Linked DNA regions of Astyanax mexicanus. The protein of the gene in region 1 purifies or fractionates together with the protein of each later gene. This does not show direct contact. Links are inferred from orthologs where the notes say so. Each region holds a gene or a part of one and is shown on either strand. Other genes may lie near its edges.

Region 1 (7,698 bases):
GCTAAATATTATAGCAATTTGATGAAATGCTAATCACAGTATACTGATCTGAACAATACATACAAACATACATACACTCATACTTTAAACAATACATAATACAATATAATTCAGCACTTACGTACAGTAAGGATGCGAAACATTTCATAAAATAATCATAAACTCTAAGAAAGACTAACAGTCAATCACTTTGTCCTGTTACGATAATTACACTATTGATTTATCACACAATATATTGACATGTACCAAATATTGCCTATATAAATATTGACAAATTATTTTATTGAAATAATTTCTGCCACTATATATTTTCCAAACAAAAACTGTTAATGTGACAAGTCATACAAAGAAATACACAGTGACTGTAGTATGAGAATAAAGATCAACAGTTAGTTGGACTTAGTTGCAATTAGTCAGTGGCGAATACATCTTACTCCACAATACCCTACAGTTCATCTTTATTAGTTCTGTACAGTTTTAAACACTGACTTTTCTATTAACTATTACCCATGGTGAGTTAAATTAATGCAGAGAGCTGCTGAGGTGAGTTTGAACAGGCTTTACTTCTTCATTAACATTACTAACATTAGTTAAACTGACATTAGCTGGATAAGTGTTAGAGATACTGTACACTGTCCACTTCATTAAAATTTTAAAAATATGTAATAGTTACTACAGACTATAGTTACAAAAAAATCTTTTTAAACAATTATTTCAGGGAGGTTTCTCCTTGGAAAAAAGTAAAATAAAAAAGTGAAAAATAGATACAAGTATTCTAGAATCTCCTGAAAACAACATCCAGTCTGTGTGAATGTTTCCTATAATATACTTTGTAATTTTAGGTTTAATATAGGTACATCAAACTATCAAAATGTGCCGCAAAACTGGTCTTGGGGCCTAAAGGTTTAGCTGTCCTTACCAGTAGGAAGTACAAATGGAGGGCATGACAAAAATAATCACGACTAATCATACCAATAATCGACAATCATCAGTTAAATTAACCAAAATAGTCATTAATTGCAGCCCTATTTTACACTCATTTAATTAAGTGTTTCAGCATCTGCAATGAAATAACTGCACCTACTGGTTCGTTGAGTTCCACTGATGCCGTCTTTCCCTCTCCGTCGGTCATTGTGAACGACTTTCCAGTAGGATGGACCTTTTAAAAAGAGGACATACATTTTAAGCAAGGTTTTAAAAGCAACATACATTAGAATGACACAACAGAGTGAAGGCTGGGGGGAAAACAGCCTTTACTAGATGTTAGGGACTTCGTGAGGATTTGACACATGCAGTGTAAAATACGGCCAATGTGCGCCACCTAGTGGCGCTTCTAGAATAGGGGGAAAACAGTTTTCCATAGACACAAAACAGTAAGGTAAGTACATAAATAATACCTTTGACATTTCAGAAGATAATCATATTGTAGGGTTAAGAGGAAACCTTGAAGAATTTAACACAGTCTCTCAGCTGTCAGCTCTCTATGTACTCTATGCCAAAGCCTGTCACTTTATGTTAAATATACATAACTAAAAAAAAAAAAAAAAACAGCCAATAACAGCTTTGACTCCTCTGGGACAGCTTTGTTAATCTGACCTCATTTAGCCACAAGAGAGCATCATTTCCTGTGTTTCAGTTATCTAATGAATAAACTTAATAATTAGGTGAAAAACACACATTACATTTATACATTTAAATGTTATAAAATCAGAGCTGGTCCATTAAGAGTTGTGCATTTTATTTTACTTTTTCTGAATCACATAATAGAAATGTATGAGCCTTATTGTATTTCTAATAAATACAATTTTAAAACTTCATATACACAGGACCTGTCAGTACCAGTTTGGACTCTATTGAAAGCTATTCCAGGTGACTCTAGATACTTTAAAGAATCTAAAATATAACACGCATATTCTGGTTTGTTTGACACATTTTTGTTCAATAAAAAAATCGGTATCACTTTAAAATAAGGTTCCTTTAAAAAGGATTTATAAACAGTGTACAAAGGAGTTGGTTATTAAGTAAGTTATAAAAAAAAGCAGTTACAACATGTAAATAGGAAGGGCCACAGTGGCCTATTGTGTACCAAATAGTAATTCCAAGTACACTTTTATACTGTTAAACCTCAGATCTTACTAGAACTAGAATCTTACTTTGCCTTTTCCATCAGTCATTATTAACATTTTGTTAATATTTTTTTAATTTTACTATAACAACATATTAAATGACTAAACTGAATTTCTATATTATTTTATTAGATATGTTTAAAAAAAGTTGTTTTTACTGTTGTCTTTCTATTTGTGTGTTGTATGTCCTTAATGTTTTTAAAGTGTTTACAACTTGTAAAATGTATAACTATTAAAAAACTCCTTTATAAACCCTTTATAAAGGATCCTTATTTTACAGTGGTACCAGCAATTCCATATGTTTTCGTCATAGTATGGATGACTTTAGTATTTATATATACAATTCAGACTGGTACTGTTGTCTGACTTTTTAAATTTAACTAAGAGAGGACTAACAATATTCCATTGCTGTCACGATTGTATTTTGCTTCCATTTCCCATTTTGTTTAATGAGAACACATTCTGATATAACGTTACTAATTCTGACTAAATTTCAGAAATCTGCATTAAAATAACTGCCCAGCATTACGCTAGTTCACCCTGTCTTTATCTGAATACACTGAGAAGCTGCGGGGAAAGTCCTGGACGTTAGTTATAGTTTAGTATCTATCGGGGCAGTCCTAGTGATTTTTTCCTGATTCACAGCACAGATAAATTATTTACTGCTGCTAAACACTGAAGTCTGATATCTATTAAAGTGATTAAAGAGTCTGATAGCACCCGCTCACTCCTCACCTTCTCCACTCGTCCTACGAAGCACACCGGTCTGTTGACGTGCTGAGAAATCATCGCCGCGTTTATCCTGCTCTTGGGAGACTCGAACACGCCCGTCATTTTCAGCGGCTTAAAGAGGGTCTAAATCCGTATTTCAAACTAAATAAACTTAAACTACTGCCTGAAAAAAAACACTGCGACTCACAAACACAAACCGCGCCAAAAAGATGTCAAAAATTATCCCGGGAAATTCTGACGTACTTCCTTTTTTGCTTCACGTGTTTCCGAGCGGGTCAAAACCCGGCTCAGCACTTTAGTTCCTACCCGAACATAAATTCACAATGTGGCTGATATTAATGTTATTAAACTGTTTTTACCGTCTATAAAAATTATAATGACAATTTAATGGCAATAATATGGAAATAGTCATACTACATCTACTACAGCAACTTTACTAAATGTTTTGCCTTCTACTGGAAATTATAATACAATCTTGAATGTGCTCACTTTAGAACTATATATAAAATTTAATTATATTAAATAAAACATTATTTGCATGTATAACCAATATGTGCTGAATAAAACATGTTTATGTATTGCTGTTTTGATGTTAAATGCACATGCTTTGTATGTATAACCTATTTTTTTGTTATTAAACAGTTTTTTAAAACTGTTTACTGTAGAAAAAAGAAAATATGCAGTTGCGTTTGCTTTGCTATTTTAGAAAAATACTTTTCTACTTTTGAAATGAAAATCCTAGACAAGTTGTTCGTTACTATTTGATACTTTAGCCAATTAGTTCTTTTTATCTCCAGGATACGGTCGCGGGCTCCCTCTAGCGTTTACTAGTCATTTCGGATTAGACGAGGGAAGTAGGAAGTGGGCAGGTGTTCTGTCGAGTTGTGCTACCTTGTCAAACCGTGATACCCTAGTACTATTTATTGATTAATAAGTTAAACATGCAAAAACAGCACCATATTACAAACATTATTAAAAAAAACTCTCAGTAGAAGTCTAGGTATGATATGTGGATAGGCTAAATAAATGTATCAGGTTAAGTTAAAAAGTTAAAGGCATATACGTGATTAGAAACCGTTTTTATAGTGTTATAGTTTATTATTATTCTCAACTGCTATTTACATGCAGGTTGTGTAATGCGCCCAATAAAATCTTTAAGGAATTATCATGAAAAACGTGAAAACATATTTAAAAATGTTGGTCGGCGCATGCGCACTGTCCTAAACAAGCACATATCGATGGGTAGCAAAACTCGACAGAACACCGTTTCAGTATTTTAGTTCCTACCAGGAACTAAAAAAACGTTCGTAATGTGGTCTAGGTTAATATTTTTTTAGTTTTTTTCATCTATACAATTGTAATGAAAAATAAATTACAATAATTAAGTTATTTGGAAATAATCACACTATATATTTACTAAATGTTTTTTTTTTGTTTCGTTGAAAGCTAAATATTTTCTAATATAAATATTTTAGTTTTAGACATTTTAAATATATATTAAATTATACATAAGTATCATGTGTATTTAACATCAATATTAGAGTAAATCATTTTTTTTTTTTATCCAGCCTCTCCGGGCTCTGTTTCCAGTCGGACTGTAAAATTGAAGAGTCGGAGCAGCTGGATGTAAACAGAAAAAAAAACTTCAACAACTTTTTAAGCTGTAAACTTGCCGTAAAATGCGAAAATATTAAAATGAAGGGATAGAGAGTGTCAGCGGAGTGACTGTATCAGTCTGTTAGAGTTATATCAGTTTAATTAGTTAGACCAGGTTCGTGTTTTTCTGTAGTTAAAGGAATCAGAGCGGTTCTGGGTGAGTGTTGAATGTCATGGTGTCGTGTTTGTTTGTTCTCACTGTGTGTTAGTTCTCTTTAAATCCTGTTAAACTCAGTGTTTTACTCTAGTTTATGTCGTAAAACGGTGCAGTTGTACTGATATAAATGAGCTCATGTGTTTGATTATCCTCTGTTTAGCAGACATAGCTAACAGTGGCTAAGCTCACTTGTTAACCTGACTCTCTTTCTGTTTCGGTTTTAGGAAGATGTTGAGTTTCTTCGGGTTTAAGAAAGACTCGACGAAAAAGTCTCCGACCGAGAAAGATTCAGATGGGTTCGTTATTATTGGTGAGTTTTATAGTTTAAGGACTGGTTCAGAATTGAAACAATAAAAGTCGGCCGTGTGCTGTAAAATGAGATTTCTGGAAAGGAAGTGACTCATTTTTCAGTTTTATTTTTTTTTTGTCAGGAAGGATGTTGAAAAAACACTTATATAAAAAGCTCAAAGGGGACTAAATGTTAATGTGAATTATTAAAAAAATCGCAACTGAATAAAAAAAAGTACGTATTTTTGCCCAGTCGATAAAATAATAAATACATTGCTTAAATCCGATTTTTTGCTCAGATCGGATGCGCACATCGATACGTGTATAAACATCGCCTTCTTCACCAACAACAAAAAAACGACATATTTGAGTGACGGCTCGTAGCTTTATTAAGGTGAAATAGATGCGTTAGCAGCCCATATATGTGAAGAATATTTTGCTCAAGTAGAGAGCAAATAGCTCATCTGAAGAACATGCTCAGGTCGAGGATGTAAAAAAAGGCCAGTGGTTTGCTTTTGCTGTTTTTGCAGCTATAGATGCACAGCTGCACCTAGAGATGTGTGGGAACGAGAGAGAAGCACGTAGCGCATGCTTAAAAGCATAAAGACGCATGAATTCCGATTTTACCGTTCACATTCATGCCACATGTTCACGAATCGGATACGTATCCGATTTAGGACCACATATACAACTGACTCAGTTGACTGATTTGGCACATTCACACAGCCATGAACGGCTACATTCTCATTACCAGGTTGAAGTGACACAAATCAGATTTTTTTGCTCAGTGTGGCTCAGATCTGATTTTTTCATGGCTGTGTGAACATGCCAAATCCATTTTTTTTTTCAAATCAGATTTGAGTCACTTCAGCCTAGCAATGTGAAAGTAGCCTAAGTATTATAAGTTAAACACAATTATGTGAACATTTAACCTATCTAATTACTACACACCTAAAAATAACTTGCTTACAATTGATAATGTGTGACTAGTTTCTCACTGGAGTGTATATCAGAAAAAAGGTTGTAGAAAGAAAGAGAAACACACTGTTAGGTTTCCTCTCTGGTGCAGTTAGGGCTGGAAGTTGAATTGAATTAACGTGATTAATCTAAGTACTGTTTTAAAATGTGTTAATTTACATATAGAAGCTGTTGTTTTACAAAAACAATAATTTCAGTATAAAAGAACCAGTCTGATTTAGGGTAAATCTACAATTTTTGTACAGTTGCATATAGTTTTTATTACTTAGTTGGGCTATATAAAACTGTTAACAATAAGTAAATTATTTGTATAGGTCAAAAAGCTGTACTATTGCCATAAATCATTATATCTGAAGTGATGCTAAAATATTATGTTAGATAAAATGACAAAACATGCAATGAAGATGTCCTTTAGCTATTTAAGTTATTTTTTGGATGTTAATGTAAAGATTTTATAAAAAATAACTAAACTACATAAATACAAAATAACATTTACCTGTCACAATAATTACATTATTAACATCCCAATCATTTTTTTCTCACCTTAATACTACATGTGTGTACTTACTAAGGAGGTCCCATTATTGTGACTGAGCCAGTTTGTTCACTTTATTTTTAAATAGTTTTATTTTAATTAAATGACTATGTAAACAAATATGTAGACAGTTTTTGTCCCATTTCTGAGCATTTGTAATTATTAAAACTCCATTGCTCTTTAAAAGGGTATAATTGCATTATTATGCTATTTTCATATCATTTAAAAAAAAATGCATTAAATGGTCATATATTGAGTGATATTGTTTATAGCAGCGTCCAAATCTAGATATTTTTTCTGACTTGTATTTTTATCAGTTTTCCAAGGTGTAACAAGGGGAAACAAAAAGACACAAAATGGATTTAAAGCTGCTTACAGGCTACAGTAATATCTAAACTTTTCTTATATCAATGATTTATGGTACTCCAACATAAAAGCAACAATAATTAATAAAACGGTACAAATATTAACAGTGAAATAGGACTTAATAGGCGTTTCACATTCAAACTTCAATCTTCAATCTTCTATATACCTCTATAGAAGCCACAGTTTTTGTACAATTTTCCAAACATAGTTATTGTGATAGACCTAGTAGCAGTTTTTAAGAAAAAACACAGCAACGGCTGTTACTTAAGATTTTTATAGGATAAAAAACTACAGTAGTAGTTCACTCCTTATGTTTTGGCTTCTGTATATAAGTAGTATTGTAGAAGTTGTTATTAAATACAAGAACAAAAATATATTTAATGTATATTTTTGAATGGTAGACTATATATCTAACTACCGGTATAGTTTGCTTTGTATGCTTGTCTGACAGGGTTACTTGAGGAAAAGGCAGCACAAACACAGGTCTCTAGTTTCATGTTATCCCCACCTGGGTAAGCTGGGCAGGTCCCCCCTTAGGAATACAGTTATACATCAGTGATACACACTTGCCATAAGAGGGCAACACAGTAGTGCTTTGTGCTTCAGCAGAGAATCTGCTGCCCATTGTTGTAACTCAACGCTGCAAATGAAAGGAGATAAGGCAACGTTTGGATTTTCTCAGTGCTTGCACTTGGAGAGCCTGTTCTCCTTCCTGATCTATTACTGTATGTCCTTCACCCCGTTTTCTATATAGGCCGCTGCAGAAATCTCACATTTCCTTCAGGGTTCAGAATCAGGGCAGTCCCAGCATATGAAACACTGTAAATACACCAGTGTTTCAAGCCTTCTTACTAAATCAT
Region 2 (7,263 bases), on another chromosome or scaffold:
ATTTTGTTATAAAAAGAAAAGAATACTTTATTTTGTATGATAGGTTTTATTGATTTGGAACTGACCAAAGAATTTAGTTCTCTGCCTACTTTTTTATTCTGTAACATCTGATCTTTGAATGAAGTGTTATGCTTTTATTTATTTATTTATTTATATATATATTATAGTTATATAATGTTCATTTGTTACCTTCTGACTAAATAACTCCCTTATCTCTCACTTATGAGTAAAAAGAACCCTTTAAGTGTGACAGTGATTGATTTATATGGTGATACATATCGATATCGACTGACACGGAAAACTATATTGTGATAAGATTATTTTTTCCATTTCACCAAGGTCCTATTCTTGAGCACCTCTGTACACTCTGAGAAAATAGGCAATATTTAATAATATTTAACAAATAAATAGAAGAATCTATACAGACCCAGGAGCATCATAGCACATTTACACCAGACTAAAATCACTGAAAAACACCAGTAACAATCGCTATACTACCTTCAGATGCAGATGAAGCCTGGTCCTGGAGATGCAGCTCAACGTGTTCCTGAAGAATAAAGCAGTCACTGCAGACCAGACTGCAGAACGGACAGGGAAACATCCTCTCTGCAACAAAACGACCATAAATAACCAAACATATCCAAACAAAGGCCACTATAAAATAAATATAAGAATATATTAAGACATTTTATTGATGAATACCTTTCTTGGGGGAGGACAGGCGTTTCTGTTTGGCCTTGCAATGCTCTGCTGAGTAATCCTCAGACTGCCCAGGGTGGACGCTGGATGTTTGTTTTTTAGATGCGCTTGCTGTGCTTGCCGCAGGAGGTGAGGATTTAATCCTGGACTGGGCTCCTTGACCTTGAGTAAGTGCAATTCCTGCACTAGGCGCAGCCGTCTCATTAGCTGTTTTGAGAGTGTGATGACCTGATGTTTGAGGGGAAGCTGGAGTTCTCCATGAGTTACAAGAGGCTGGCGAATTCTTCACAGTCCATTTAGCACCATTGGTTTCAGTGGGGTCTGGTACCCGATCTGCTGATGCCTTGTCAGTGGGTGAGTTCTGAAGATCCATCTCTGTGTGTGCAGTACTAATGTGGAAGTTCAGCTCATCGTAGGAGACTCCTGATAGCGAGCAAAACGGACAGCTCATCTCATTTTCCAGGTGGCTCAGAAGGAGGTGGGTTTTTAATTCTGATTCAGATGCAAACTCTTGGCAGCAGATGTCACAAACAGGCATGGTGGGACAGCTTCTGTCAGTGGAGTACATAGTAAACGTGCAGAATCAGTAAGTGTTTCATGAAGCATCTCAAAATTGTACTGTTATAATATTATATTATATTATAATAATGTGCTTTTTAAAGGGGCGTAAAAGTGCTTCTCCCACTGCATTACATTAAAAGTCTCTCAGGGGCTACTTTTCAGTAGTGTATCACTTGGTGAGAGATTGTTGACTGCTAGACCTGCTTCTACAATGCATGTGAAGACATTTGCCAAGTTCACTTCAAAATGGGGTACATCAATGGACTCAGCAAAGCAGGATGGTCATTTTTGACAAACCATAAGCCAGTCATCCAGCAAACGTCGCCCTTTACAGTGGTGTTGTGACCAGGAAACCTGGACTGATAAGGACTAAAACCTTATTGACTTTAAGAAAAGCCTCAACCGCTGGGTGATACAACAGACAACCACTAAAATGTGCCACGTGATGCCTCTCACGGCAGGGCTTCCAACTGGAACAGTTGGAACAGGATAATGCTAACTCATTAAGGGTTTTAAACTCATCAAGGGTTTTACCAGGAATGCCTATTGCAACACTTCCTTGGCCAACTAAATTACCATATTTATCAACAATTGGGCAACCAGTTTGGTAAAGATTGTTATAAGGGTTGACCAGCTTATTCAGACTGGTTATTCTGGCTAACCTGCTTGGTAAGGCTAGTCTTGGTGGTCAACCTGCTTGGTCAGGCTGGGTATTGTGGCCAACCAGCTTGGTTGTGCTGATCATACAGGTCAACATGCTTGGTCAGGATGGTTATCCTGGCTAACCTACTTGGTCAGGATGGTCTTGATGGTCAACCAGTTTTGTCAAGCTGGTTATTCTGACCAACCAGCTTGGTCAGGGTGGTTATTCTGGCTAACATACTTGGTCAGGCTGGTTTTGTTGGTCAACCAGCTTGGTAATGAATGTTATGAAGGTTGACCAGCTTGGTCAGGCTGGTTATTCTGGTTAACCTGATTGGTCAGGCTGGTCTTAACGGTTAACCAGTTTGGTCAGGCTGGTTATTCTGGCCAACCAGCTTGATAATGCTGGTCATACAGGTCAACTTGCTTTGTCAGGCGGGTCTTGCTGGTCGATCAGCTTGGTCAGGCTGGTTATTCTGGCTAACCTGCTTGGTCAGGATGGTCCTGCGGGTCAACCGGCTTGGTATTATTTGTTTTGAAGATTGACCAGCTTGTACATGCTGGTTATTCTGGATATCCAGCTTGGTCGCAGAGCATGGTCAAGTTTGGATATCTAGCTAGCTTTTTTTGGTTTGTCATGCTTGTAGAGCAACTAAACCATCAAAGTCTGTGTTAACAAAAACAGAAACATACTCTACATTGGACAAAATCTAAACTGGTCAACCGGCTTAGCTTAACCAGCTGGAGCTGTGCAGTTTTGTTTACAGCAGGGATCTAAATCTAAATAAACACTCCCACATGCAAGTTCGTGCACTAGAAGTCAGAAATATGTTGCTTTTTTAATCAAACGAGGACGATGGCATGTTTTAGACAGAATGAATGAGCCCCTTCAATGTATTCAATCATATTCAACCATTCAGAGACAATAGAAACACACAGATAAACCTCCAGCATATCTAGCTACATTTAAATGGTGTAGGTTAAATACTTACTCGAGTTGTTTTAACCTGTTAATCAGTTTTTCTCGCTGCACCTCAGGTTCTCCGGGTTCTCATTTCACTGAAACTCAGCCTCTTTATTTTCGTTTTCCTCGCCTGACCCGCTGGAAACATCGCGGGAAGTGACGCGCTTCTCGGCCGTAACCTGGGGACGCCATATTGCCCTCCTCAGCCGGAGTGAATCGGGAAGGAGGCGAGAGGAACGGAACAGCAAATAAAACACGAAAAAAGCGACTATCCGCACAGGACTGGGGTCTAGAAGTGAACAGGTGAGCCTCAGTCACCGTCCGGTGTGACTTTAGGTTGGGTTAAGGGTGATTAGGGGCTTTAATTACGCTGAGAAAGGAGGGCAGAGGCGGAGTGACGTAGGTTAGCTAGCTTAGCATTAGCTCTGCTAACCTAGCGTTAGGTTAGCACTAGCGAGCAAAGCTGGTATATTTGGGTTGCGAAACCAAGAAAAAACAGATAAATTTCCTTCTTAGTGCGGATTAAAACACATTGTTCCCAGTTACATTGGTTTACCAGCTTGTAATGCTAACATACATCTTAGTTGGGTGCTGTTTAATGCTCCAAAATGCTGGAGTTGCCTTCTTAATCTAATTGTCCGTTCCACCTTATACAGGGCAGCAGTGCCAGCTAAATCCTGCAGACTCCAGAATTTAACTGCTCATATATGTTTATGGTAACTACTCTACTCTTTAAGGTGGAATGGGTGGGTTCAGTTTTGTGTTGCCCCACCTGGCATCTAGCTAGCTAGCTTAGTTAGCTAACGCTAGCTATCATAGCTTACTAATAAACCAGCTGTTATTTAGCGCTACCAGTTTTAGAACTCAAAATCCCACCTGATTTATTTTTTAAATACAGATTAACTTTTAAATACAGTACATTTTTAAGCTGTATAGTTAATATAACTTGTGGTATTTCTATAATATTGGCTGCTGAGACTAGCTAGCTAATGTTAGCATACAGTTATGCTAATGTGTTTAGTATAACTATATTCAGCTTTTCCATATTAAAATAAATAAAATAAAAACAGTTTGAGATTTTTTTAATCATTATTTAATGTTCTGTCTACACCACTTAAAGGATTGTTAAATATTGTTGTGCTTTAAAAGTGTCTTTAAGGGGCACTAAACCCCCTGATTTTTGATGACCCCACCTTCAGCTCAAATTTGGAAAAAGGCTAAAAATTGGAAGGGGCGTTGAGTGATGTATGGGTTTAGAGGTGCGGCAGGAGAGAGAGCTGATTGGCTGAGCTACTGCTGCAGCAGTATGCCTCTGATAGCAGTGAGACCCAGATGATTGGACGTCAGCAGGGGGGCGTTATTATTAATTGTCTGATCTGCATATTGTGAGTGTTAATAGTCACATATTAAAATAACTGATGTTATGTAAGAGCCAAAAATCTAAATTGTAATCGAAAAGAAAGTCGAAAGAATTTATGGATATTGATGACATTTTTGAGCCATCATCATGTAGTGCAAGTTTTAAATGTGAAATAAAAATGTCTGGAATTTTATATACTTATAAACTTGAAACTTTTGCACAGCGTGCAAGACCAATTTGATCAGCTTTTGCTGTATGACCACTAGGACAACAAAAATGGCGAGTCCAGGAAAAGACAGTTATCGAATGAAAAGCTACAAGAACAAGGCCCTGAACCCGCAGGAGATGAGAAGACGGAGGGAGGAAGAGGGCATCCAGCTGCGGAAACAGAAGAGAGAAGAACAGGTAGGCCTGTAAAGCAGTATTACTCAAGTACACTTTGTTGCAGAATCAGACAAATCCAAAGGGTGGAATTGGACCACGTCCAGTGGTTTGTTCCTATTAATTCGTATTAGTCTGAAATCCTGTAATATTTCCTCCTAATCTCTTTCTCTCTTGCTCTTACTCACACACATACACACAGGCTGTTTTTAGCTCAGAAATGATAAACTCCCGAAAGTTTTAAATACTCTTCTTACCCATGTTTTTAGCAGTTACACTCTGCCCTTCAGCTTCATTTAGTAGCTTGCTCCTGTACTTATGTTAAAAGTAACATTACCTCAACCAGGAAAACTGTAATTTATCCTGTGTTCTTCTAAAGCTAGGCAGTGTAATTGTAATAGATGTCCCACCTCTTACATGACTCCAGATTCTCCTGCATGCCAACCACAAATCATATTATATAATATCTTGGGGCAATCGAGCAAAACAGAGTGACCAACATTTGTTGTAGGCATGTGACAAGGAGAGCATCCTAATTGATCTCACATTGTGCTCAGTAGATCATTACAGAATTTAACACAGACATGACTCACATGAGAGATCTCATGTAGTTACAAATTAATGAATATAGGCATAATCTGGATTTGGTAAACAACTATGCTTTGTTTCATTTAGGCCAACAATTTTTGTACATACGATTCATATGATGGGCAGGTGCCTTCCTTTTGATGTTTCTTAGAAAGGTCTCTGGGTTTTCGGATCAGCACTAGCAGAAATCTGACGTCTGGTGTTCAAACAATGCAACTGCATGAGATTTCATAGTAACAGAATGTGGAATTGCCTGTTTCAGCCATGCACAACGTATAAGTTTATATATACAGCTCTGGGAAAAAATAAAAGCCACTTCAAAATAAGTTTCTTTGATTTTACCAAATTGAAAACCTCTGAAATATAATCAAGAGGAAGATGAATTATCACAAGCCATCAAACCAAGCTAAGCTGCTTGAATTCTTGCACCAGGAGTGGCAAAAAGTTATCCAAAAGCAGTGTGTAAGATTGGTGGAGGAGAACATGCCAAGATACATGAAAACTGTGATGAAAGACCAGAGTTATTCCACCAAATATTAATTTCTGAACTCTTAAATCTTAATAAAAAATATTTACTTGTTTTCTTTTGCATTATTTGAGAATTATTAGGAATTTGGGAGATTTTAGTTTATAGAATAAAACAATTATGTTCATTTTACTCAAACTAATACCTATAAATATTAAAATTGTAAAACTGCTTTACAAACTAATGTGGTCTCTTATTTTTTTCCAGAGCTGTACATAAAATATGTATGTAGTTCAGCATATTTTTGCAATTAAATGACATATTGGTGAAAATGAAATTTCACATATTCATTTTGCAATTAATGATAAATTAAAACGATAAATTCAGAATACAAACAGTTGTATGTCTAGGTGGAGGATGTGAAAGATGTTATGCAAAACTTTTGCATAAGTTTTGCATAACTTTGTGTCCAAAATCTTTCAAACACTGTTTTGGTAACTGTGCACCATTACTAAAGTTTTACAAAAGCTCAAAAGAGTGTGATGTGACTAACATAAATAGTAAATAGCTTGTTATTTATGTATTTTATTTTTTTTATGTATTTAGTTTTTTTCACACAAATTACCTATGCAAGTTAAATATATATTTTTGGAATCACACACAGATGGTAACTTGTGAGATTATTTAGAATGTTTTTTTGTATCCTGTGTAAAATAGTTATGAATTTATCTTTCTTTTTATATATTATGTATTTTATTCCTGAACTGCAGCTGTTCAAGAGGAGGAATGTTTATGTGCCGCCGGGTGATGAGTCCATGTTAGAGTGCCCCATTCAGGATCCTGACGTCAGCTCCACTGTCCCCATATCAGGAGTAAGTGTATTATTAATGCTCCAAGTGCTGTTAATTGTTGGCTGGGAACTGGGAATACATGCTTTTATCCAGGAGAGCACTAGAAATGGTACATTCCCATTTCACCACTTTTACACTGTTAGCCTAATTCTTGTTAGGCTAGAGAGGTAGAGGGAAGTGTTAGAGCTACATGACAATGTTAAACTGAGATTTTGTGAGACAGACCAAAGAAGACCCACAAATTTGAGTATTTTCCTTGTTACAAGTTACACTAACCACAATATTACTATAATATAATGTGTAGTTTACATGTTTTCAGGCCTTTTCCCTCATAACAAGCATAAAAAAGCTAGTAGTTTGTCTCACTAGATAGCTAGTTAGCTAACTATTCCGGTCCACCTTTAAGCAAACAGCAGAGGCTGCAGCACTTTAACATGGAACAGAAAAACAAAATAAAAGCTTATTTTAGCTCCCCATTACAAAGGAATTAAGGAATTTAAAAATAATAAATAATTGCTTCACCACCTGCCTCTTTTCTGAAAGCATACAATACCCTAAAGCTTTCTAGTTAACAAGCAGCGAGGTTGCTGGACTTTAGCGCTTCACTGCTATAACTATCTGTATCGGGTTCTTGAAGGGATTTTACTCCTTCTCCTTATTACTCTGTTCAAAGGGGAATGGTTCTTTTAAAAACAAGGTGTAGGGTTACAAATGAGAAATGGAATTTGGATTATATATTTTAAACTTTTAG
Region 3 (7,887 bases), on another chromosome or scaffold:
AAATATTTCAATCGCCACACAACACAATTTACCAAAATCACTAATTGCTCTAAAATTGCTGCAATATTAATCCCTCTATCAGTAGACAAAGACACCATTTACCAGCTGTTATATTATATCGTATTGTATTTCTATGTTTATTCTTAGTATGTAAGGACCCCCATAATAAACAACTATGGCAGGAGATACCTGTAGGTTCTGTGATAACATGTCAGGATTGTTGAAAACTTTTTTCAATTGTTTTTTAAGTAGTTGTTTAACATTTTCTCATAACTGGATTCCCATAACTATTTTTTTTTTTATTTAAGCTGCATGACCTGGATTTGAACCAGCGATCTCCCGATTTTAATGACAGCCCTTTAGACCGCTGGACCACTTAGATAACTTGACAAATAGATAGCAGTGCAGATTAAATTGTTCTGATTACATACAAAGTAAACTTTTCTTTTACTAAGATTTTAAGAATAAGTGTTTTCAAACTATCAGATTTCCGAAAAATAAATTTAAACAATCGAAATATATATACTTGCTTACTGTATTGCAATAAACAGTGACATATTGAATTGTATCGTCAAAATCTTGCCAATACATAGCCCTAATATTCAACGTAGGCTTTTGTCACTTACTGCAGTGAGTTTTAGGTTTTAGGTTTAGCCTACCTATTGTAATGTTCTTAATTAAAATTATTACAGATAGATATCATATGTGACCTGTAATATATGTTTGAGAGTGAATTGGTTGGTGTAAAGTATTTTTCTTACCATAGTTTCTGGACGGTATGTTTTTGAACACTGCAATGAGCTCTGCATGGTAGCCGACCTCTACTCTAAACCGCTCCTCCGTATGTGGCACACATTTCCCCCTCACAGACACTGTGGGTTTCTTAGCAGGTCCAGCAGAGGAAGTGTCTGGTGGTTTAGGTGTCTTCTTGTCAGATGGTTGGGCAGTCAGCCCCTGGTTCTGTCCATAGAAACTATTGGCCTTGAAGGTACCCTTCGATGCATCAGGTTTGACCTCAGGAGGTTTGGAACTAGCTGAAGGACCTGAAGTCTGGGGTTCATTTGTTGGAAAGTGTCTGTTAGGGATGGGAAGAGCATCTATGACCTGGATCTAAGAGAAAGAGAAAAAAATACACACACCTGTGTAAACCATTAAATGGACTAATGTTTGATTGTTGAATTAACAATTGTTGTTTACACTATTTGCAGATACATGAATATTTCCAAAATGTTTTTAGCAGTTTTTAACTTGCTGATATAATGAGAATGTGGCAGTTGTTCTAAATATTGCTTAAAATGTCACAGTGAACAGACTAATAAAACACTTCCATAAATTTACAAAAATCACATAAGAGACCAATTTAAAATAATGCTCAAATCTAAAACTTTAAAAGAATTTTTTTTTTAATTGGTAAAATCCTGATAATATACAGTACTAATCAAAAGTGTGGACACACCTCTTTTCATTCAAGTCCTAATTATCAGATTAGTCGACTACCAAAATAATCATTATTTGCAGCCCTATCCAGATGTTGAGTACACTCTTTCACTCATTCATATTTCTCGTTAAATATCTACTAGAGACAGATTATATCTGTTCAGTATCATTTATTTTTCCTCAATCCTGGATACATGGAGTGCATTATTAGTTTTATTACATGTTGGATAATTGACCTTTGTTACAATGTGGTAAAAGTGTCAATTAAGGGTGTTTCATATGATATCCTATGCAATAATATCACCTGATAAAATGTATTATACCACAGGTAGTTCCGACCCTGCAATGTGATTGGTTGAGAGGAGGTCTATGAGTGCCATTATCAGCCAGTAATGCACTGTAACCAAACCTCATCACAGCTCTCCAAAGCAGTGCCAATATTGCATGTTATAATGCACTGTATTTGTTACTTAAATATTAATTTGGTGCAGTAGTGTATTTCTGAAGTTAAATTTCAAGTTAAACTTCACATTTGAAGTTTAATTCAATGTCAAAATCCTTGAATAGTCCTGAAATATCGTGATATTATTTAAGGGCCATATTGCCCACCCCTACTGCACACAGTAAGGGCACAGACTGTTCATACCTGTCTGGCAGTGGCTGTTCTGCTTGTTGAGGGCTGAGGGTTGTTTCGGTGTGAGGGTAAAGGTGGTGTGTATTTTTTGGATGGTCCTGCTGTTGGACGGGGCTGAGGTGTTGGAGAGGAAGCATGCTGCTGCTGCTTGGAGGAGAAGAGGTCGTTTTGAAGAGGCTGTGGATTCCCTTGTGCGAGTCTCTCAGCTCTTCTTGCGAGCGCTTTCAGACGGTTCTCCTCGATTTTCCTCTTCTGTTCAGGAGTCAGAGTGTTGGACATTCCTACCATCAGTCAGAAAAACTGACTCAGATGTCACCTCGCTTTAATCCTGGACTGGAGCTGCGCAGCTTAAGCAGATAACCCCAGCTCACCACATTGAGCCTGGTTTAAACATTAAGCCTGGTGGAGCTGGTTGTTATTATAAAAGGTGGGTGTGTGGTTCAAGTTTAGTGCAGCGGGTCATGGTGCCGCTCAGTCAGTTTCTCCGCTGCTTGTTTATTTAAGTTAGCTTACATCGGCGAAGCTCCTGTTAGCCGATTAGCCGGTTAGCTTAGCGCTGTAAATAAGTCTGTACAGTAATCTGTACAGGGTTATGTGTGTTTATCTGCGCGGTAAACAGGTGTGAATGCTGTAGAGAGTGTTTACAGATCAGGATCTGTGTAGAAAAGTGTTTAAATTCTCAGTAATAAACCGGTTTCCTCCTCATTCCGCCGTTAGTTCAGAACTTCAGCTCAACTTTCAACCTTAGCGCCCAACAGCCGGTGTTCTGTCGAGCTATGCTACCCATCGATATGTGTTTCTTACACCAGTGCGCCTGCGCGGATCCACATTATATATTTTTGTGATATTTTCAAGTTCTTACGATTTATGATTATTCAATTGATCTTCATCTTGTGTGCTTTAAAGGTCAACTCACTGTTGTTCTTTGTGTTTGAGTGATACAAATCTGTATTAGCTGTTAAGAATAAGAAATAGCAATAATAAGCGATTAAAAAATACAAAATATAACTTAACTATTTATCTAATCACGTCTCATCACCGTAACTTTACTTTTTTATTTTTAAACAGTTAGTTGGCTTTAAAAGAGTTAGTTAGCTTATCTAAATATGCCATTCGACGCAGATTTCTTAAAGCGTGTTTTATTTGCATTTTTACGTTTAAATAAAAACTAAGGTACCACGATTTGACAAGGTTGCATAACTCGACAGGACACCGGAAGCGATCTGCAGGAGGCGGGGCGGAGAGCCAGCGCGGTTGTATAATAATAATAATAATAACAATAAAAGTCCAATAAAACTAGGATTGAAGACAGTACATAATAGATACAAAACACATTTAAAATCGCAACATTTCTAAATATGTGCGGTTTCTTTCTGTTAAGCAAAATCTGTTCCTCAGCTTTTTTATCTTCTTTTAATTTAAGTTTAATTTCTTGGAGAGACTTTTAATTATATACCTTTTCATATTCAGATCCAGATGAGTAAAGATGTTGAGTATATTGCAAATATTATGAATTTATTGAGTAAATACTACAGGCTATTGTTCTGTAATTTTCAAATAAATAAACGAATAAGTAAATAAATAGTAAAAAAAAAGTTTTTATTAATTATTTTTTCTAATAAGACTTTTTTTGGTTTGTGTATTTGTATTTCCAAATAAGAGCAAAGGTGAAAACATTAACAAAATTATTATTTTTTATTTTTTGCAATAATTTTTTTTTTAAACAACAAGAGGCAAATCAAAAGATGAAATATATTTGGTGTCAGGGTGAATATGTGGGTAGTGGATGGATTTAATTCCGATTGGATTTCTAGAATACAGAGATTTGCATCAGCACATAGTTAATGTCTAATATTATTCAGATATGAAGTAAAAACCCAACTGGAATTTTTATCTTCAAAAACCTGACAAAATGTTTAATCTGGATTCATTCTTTTATTTTACTAAAAAGCAGTTGGCATTTCCAATGTTTGTGCTATATGCTTTGTGCATTGATTTGTCCATTATTGTATTATTGTATTATTGTTCAAGTCCCATTTTACAAAACTATGCACATGTTTTGGATGACAAGGTTTAAAAAGTCTGATTATCTATTTTTATTCATGAACAATAGAATTTATTTTAAGCATACCACCTACAGTGCAAACAGTTTAAATCACGAATCCCCCCAAACCCCCACACTTATTCATGATTAATTCATCGATCTTTACACCCACCCAATTATTACTCCATTAATTAATTAACTAATTTGTCGATTTATCTAGCTAATCTTCCCATCTACCCACCAACATAACCTCTGATTAATTAATGTATCAATTCATTTTAACACCCAGTCATTCATTAATTTATTCATCCACACATCAATCCACCACACACTGATTCGTGCATTCATCCACCCAATTAATTGCCCACCAGCCTACCCATTCATTTATTAATTTATTCATTAATTCATTAATTTATTCATCCAATGACCTAAAACTGTGGGATATTACTATTGTATAATCTATTGTAACCTGATCCAGTAAACTGGTTTACTTAGCCAAACTAATGTCTGTTTAAGATGACATAATAACCACCAGAAAATAGCCTCAAATTAAAGTAATAAATGACAAGAAATGGTTCTAGGCTGCAATTACACAGTTTTAGACCCATAAAATTTATACAGCCAAACTTTAATGGGGATAACCGCCAAACCAGCAGTTCAGTGATCTCTGTAACGAGTTTGAAAGGGAAACAGTGTTGGCTGGAGACTAATGATAATACAGGGGGGTGTTGATCTCCCGCAGCGGCGGGGAGGAGCTGAGGAGCGTCACGCAGGTCTGAGTGACGCCGCTGCTGCTGGGGAGCTGTCCCGCCAAGCGGTGCTGAAACCGCAGAGCCAGAGAGAGAGGGGGGGGGGGGGGGGGGGTAGAGAGAGAGAGATAGGGGGGGATAGAGAGAGATAGTGTGTGAGAGAGAGAGAAAGAGAGAGGGGGGTAGAGAAAGAGAGACATGCACACAATGAAAGAGAGAGAGAGGATAGAGAGGAGAGTGAGGAGAGAGGTTGGTAGAGAGTATGTGTGTAAGAGAGAGATAGAGAGAGAGAGGGAGAGAAAGAGAAAGAGAATAAAGAGAGATAGAGAAAGAGAGACACAGAGAGAAAGATCGAGTGAGGGAGAGAGAGAGAGGTTGATAGAGAGTGTGTGTGAGAGAGAGAGGATACAGATAGAGTGAGAGAGGGAGAATAGAGAGAGAGGGAGAGAGAGGTTGGTAGAGAGTGTGTTATAGAGAGAAAGAGTGAGAGGATAGAGATAGATAGAGAGAGTGAGAGAGGGAGGGAAGAGGGAGATTGGTAGAGAGAGAGTGAACGAACAAATACGAGAGAGAGAGAGAGAGATAGAGAGCAAGGGAGGGAGAGAGAGAGACTCCAGCACCAGTCCTGCCACACAAAACCTGAGCGGGAAAGCAGACCCTGCAGCTCCATGCTTGGATTTTAAGCCGTATCTCTTCTGAAAGCTGCTGCTGGTGACGATGGGCAGGGATTGAGATGAACTGTGCTGGAAGTGCAGGCAGCCAACCTCCCAGGAAGATGTGAAGAGAGATGTGAAGTACCCTGCACATAAAGCAGAAGCTGAACCTACACGTTCGCCTTGTGATAAAGATGATAAAGATGCAGCGACAGGAGAACAAGCCTGCAGAAGTGCTGGAAACTAGGGGAGGACATCGGGCACTTTACTAGCCTGCACAGAGTGGAGTGGACTAGTGGACTGGACCTGAGCTGGCTGTGATTTTTTAAACCTGGAGAACCTGGAGGATCCTTAGGCTACTCAACATGCTGATGATACAGAAAGACTAAAAATATGACAATTTATGTGGCAAGAGTTTTTGTCTTACTTATGTTAGATCATTACTTTCTTAATATGCCATCATTTGCCATTGTCGTGGGACCTGGAAAGTTGCTCCTGGCTTCTTAGCATTGTTTTATTTTTCCTTTGAATGAATCCCATGGCTTCTGACACCTGCTTACATTTACACAATCCATATCTACTGGGGATGAATATTGGATAAAGTCATACATGTGTCTTCTGTGGATGAAAAAGATCAATGAGCTTTCAGCGATGAAGCCAAGTTAGAGTGATCAAAAGGACTACTACCAAAAAGGATACCTACTTGGAGATACACTTATACTTTTCTTCTATAGTTTCCAGATTTACCATAGTACAAACTTTCATAAAGAAACCTGACAGTCACCAGCATCACTGGGCAGCATCAGCATCCGCTTCTTACAGTAGTTTTTAACTCAAGTGGTGGATGCTGATTTTCCACCCGGCATGCTGAAGGGCCGCTGCTGTGTTCTCTTCAGTGACCTGAAGCTGCTCCTGCTCAGGCCACAGGCCTCCCAGGTCCCCCAGGCTCAACAGACGCCTCCTGTGCTCAGCCCCATGAGCGGACCACCAGACACACGCCGTGAAAGCGAAGGCAACCAGTGCTCCTGCGCCGCCAACAACAACAACACCAGCTTCCGGCTCCAGCACTGGAGTGTCCCCTCCACAGAGTGTCCTGTGGGGCCAGAGACACAGAAGCCCACAGCAGCTGAGGACTTCTCCAAAAGGGACAAACACGACGAGCGCTTCTCCTTCATCAGTTACGCTGAGGGCGTACCTGTGTGCAGGATATGCTTCCAAGGACCAGAGCAGGTAGGGACACACCTATAGAGCTGAGACAGTTGCTCTGATTTTTGATATGGCTATAGTAATGAAAAAAAAGTCCAGTACGAGATACCTTATCCACTATCACTGTGGTCTTATCCCTCTATGGCATGAATTTTATTATTTTTTGGAGAAAAAAAAATATTGCACTTTATATTTATTATATCACTATAATAATTATATCACTTTTTGGAAGCTGGGGGTTCCCTGTTATTGGATCAATCATAATTAGTTTGTTGCTTCAAGGCAACAATATTCCAAAGGGTACTTTAATTTAAGGTTATCTGTATATATGCATGACATATTTGGGAGAAAACAAGCAATTTATACAAATATATACATTTTAAAATAAAACTATTGTGAAAAATGTAATGCACATGTTCATGTTTTAGTTATTTCAATTTAATAACTAATAATCCAATTAATAATCTCATATGGTTTTGATTCCTGAAAGTATTGCATCTCCCCCTTTTACACCTATTCTTAATGTGACATTCTGAGACTGTGACATGAATGTGTAATGATCATAAAAGAGTTATTTTGCCTGAGGGCAACACAATGCCAAAGAGGGTTAAAACACATCAAAAAGGTTCCCAAATGGATCTTGGGCTAAGCATATGTTTCTACACTGTTTATAAAAATGGCCTATTAGAAGTTCATCATTGGAAGCCATAGCTTCATTTAGATGTTTCCAGTAACAGGTTGGAGGCATTTTGGCTCATTCCTCTATCCTTAGTGGGCTTCCTTGTATAAATTGTTTTTGTTGGTCCTTTCACAACCTTTGTATTGGGTTAAGGACTTATTTGGAATATTTGTAGATACACACATTAGTTTTTTTACAGTTTTCGTTCTTCAGATCATAGTACAAAAGTTTCTGCACCCTGTTTGTGAGACATTGCTTTCAGTAACTAGTGTAAATTCCTTGAGGAGCAATAACTTTAATAAATGTTTTCAGAGGCTGGTAATCAGTCCTGCACAATGTGTTGGAGGGATTGTGGCTTATTTCTCCTAACAAAACTTTAAGAATGTCTTTGTAGGCTTTGCTTATGTGGGTATGGTCATTGTCTTGTTGCATGACCCACTTGGGTTTAAGTTTCAGTTCGTGGACAGACACCTGTAGTTGTTGCT

The links.
Region 2: the proteins of rpa3 (region 1) and zufsp purify together in Homo sapiens (affinity purification with western blotting; 3 studies listed by BioGRID, with this or other methods). This does not show direct contact. The link is inferred for Astyanax mexicanus from reciprocal best matches to the Homo sapiens genes RPA3 and ZUP1.
Region 3: the proteins of rpa3 (region 1) and smarcal1 purify together in Homo sapiens (affinity purification with mass spectrometry; 3 studies listed by BioGRID and IntAct, with this or other methods). This does not show direct contact. The link is inferred for Astyanax mexicanus from reciprocal best matches to the Homo sapiens genes RPA3 and SMARCAL1.

The regions. Positions count from the first base shown.
Region 1 is NC_064410.1:35,612,514-35,620,211, reverse strand, and holds the start of rpa3 (replication protein A 14 kDa subunit), read right to left. Parts: upstream 3,107-7,698; 5' UTR 2,961-3,106; coding exon 2,862-2,960; intron 1,160-2,861; coding exon 1,085-1,159; intron 1-1,084. Other genes in the region: umad1 (UBAP1-MVB12-associated (UMA)-domain containing protein 1), read left to right, coding at 4,900-4,981. UniProt on the Homo sapiens protein: As part of the heterotrimeric replication protein A complex (RPA/RP-A), binds and stabilizes single-stranded DNA intermediates that form during DNA replication or upon DNA stress.
Region 2 is NC_064411.1:31,760,796-31,768,058, forward strand, and holds the start of zufsp (zinc finger-containing ubiquitin peptidase 1), read right to left. Parts: upstream 3,029-7,263; 5' UTR 2,895-3,028; intron 1,251-2,894; 5' UTR 1,238-1,250; coding exon 703-1,237; intron 607-702; coding exon 499-606; intron 1-498. Other genes in the region: kpna5 (importin subunit alpha-6), read left to right, coding at 4,503-4,631, 6,432-6,533. UniProt on the Homo sapiens protein: Deubiquitinase with endodeubiquitinase activity that specifically interacts with and cleaves 'Lys-63'-linked long polyubiquitin chains. Shows only weak activity against 'Lys-11' and 'Lys-48'-linked chains.
Region 3 is NC_064418.1:40,252,781-40,260,667, reverse strand, and holds the start of smarcal1 (SWI/SNF-related matrix-associated actin-dependent regulator of chromatin subfamily A-like protein 1), read right to left. Parts: upstream 3,007-7,887; 5' UTR 2,360-3,006; coding exon 2,084-2,359; intron 1,111-2,083; coding exon 762-1,110; intron 1-761. Other genes in the region: marchf4 (membrane associated ring-CH-type finger 4), read left to right, coding at 6,382-6,747. UniProt on the Homo sapiens protein: ATP-dependent annealing helicase that binds selectively to fork DNA relative to ssDNA or dsDNA and catalyzes the rewinding of the stably unwound DNA. Rewinds single-stranded DNA bubbles that are stably bound by replication protein A (RPA).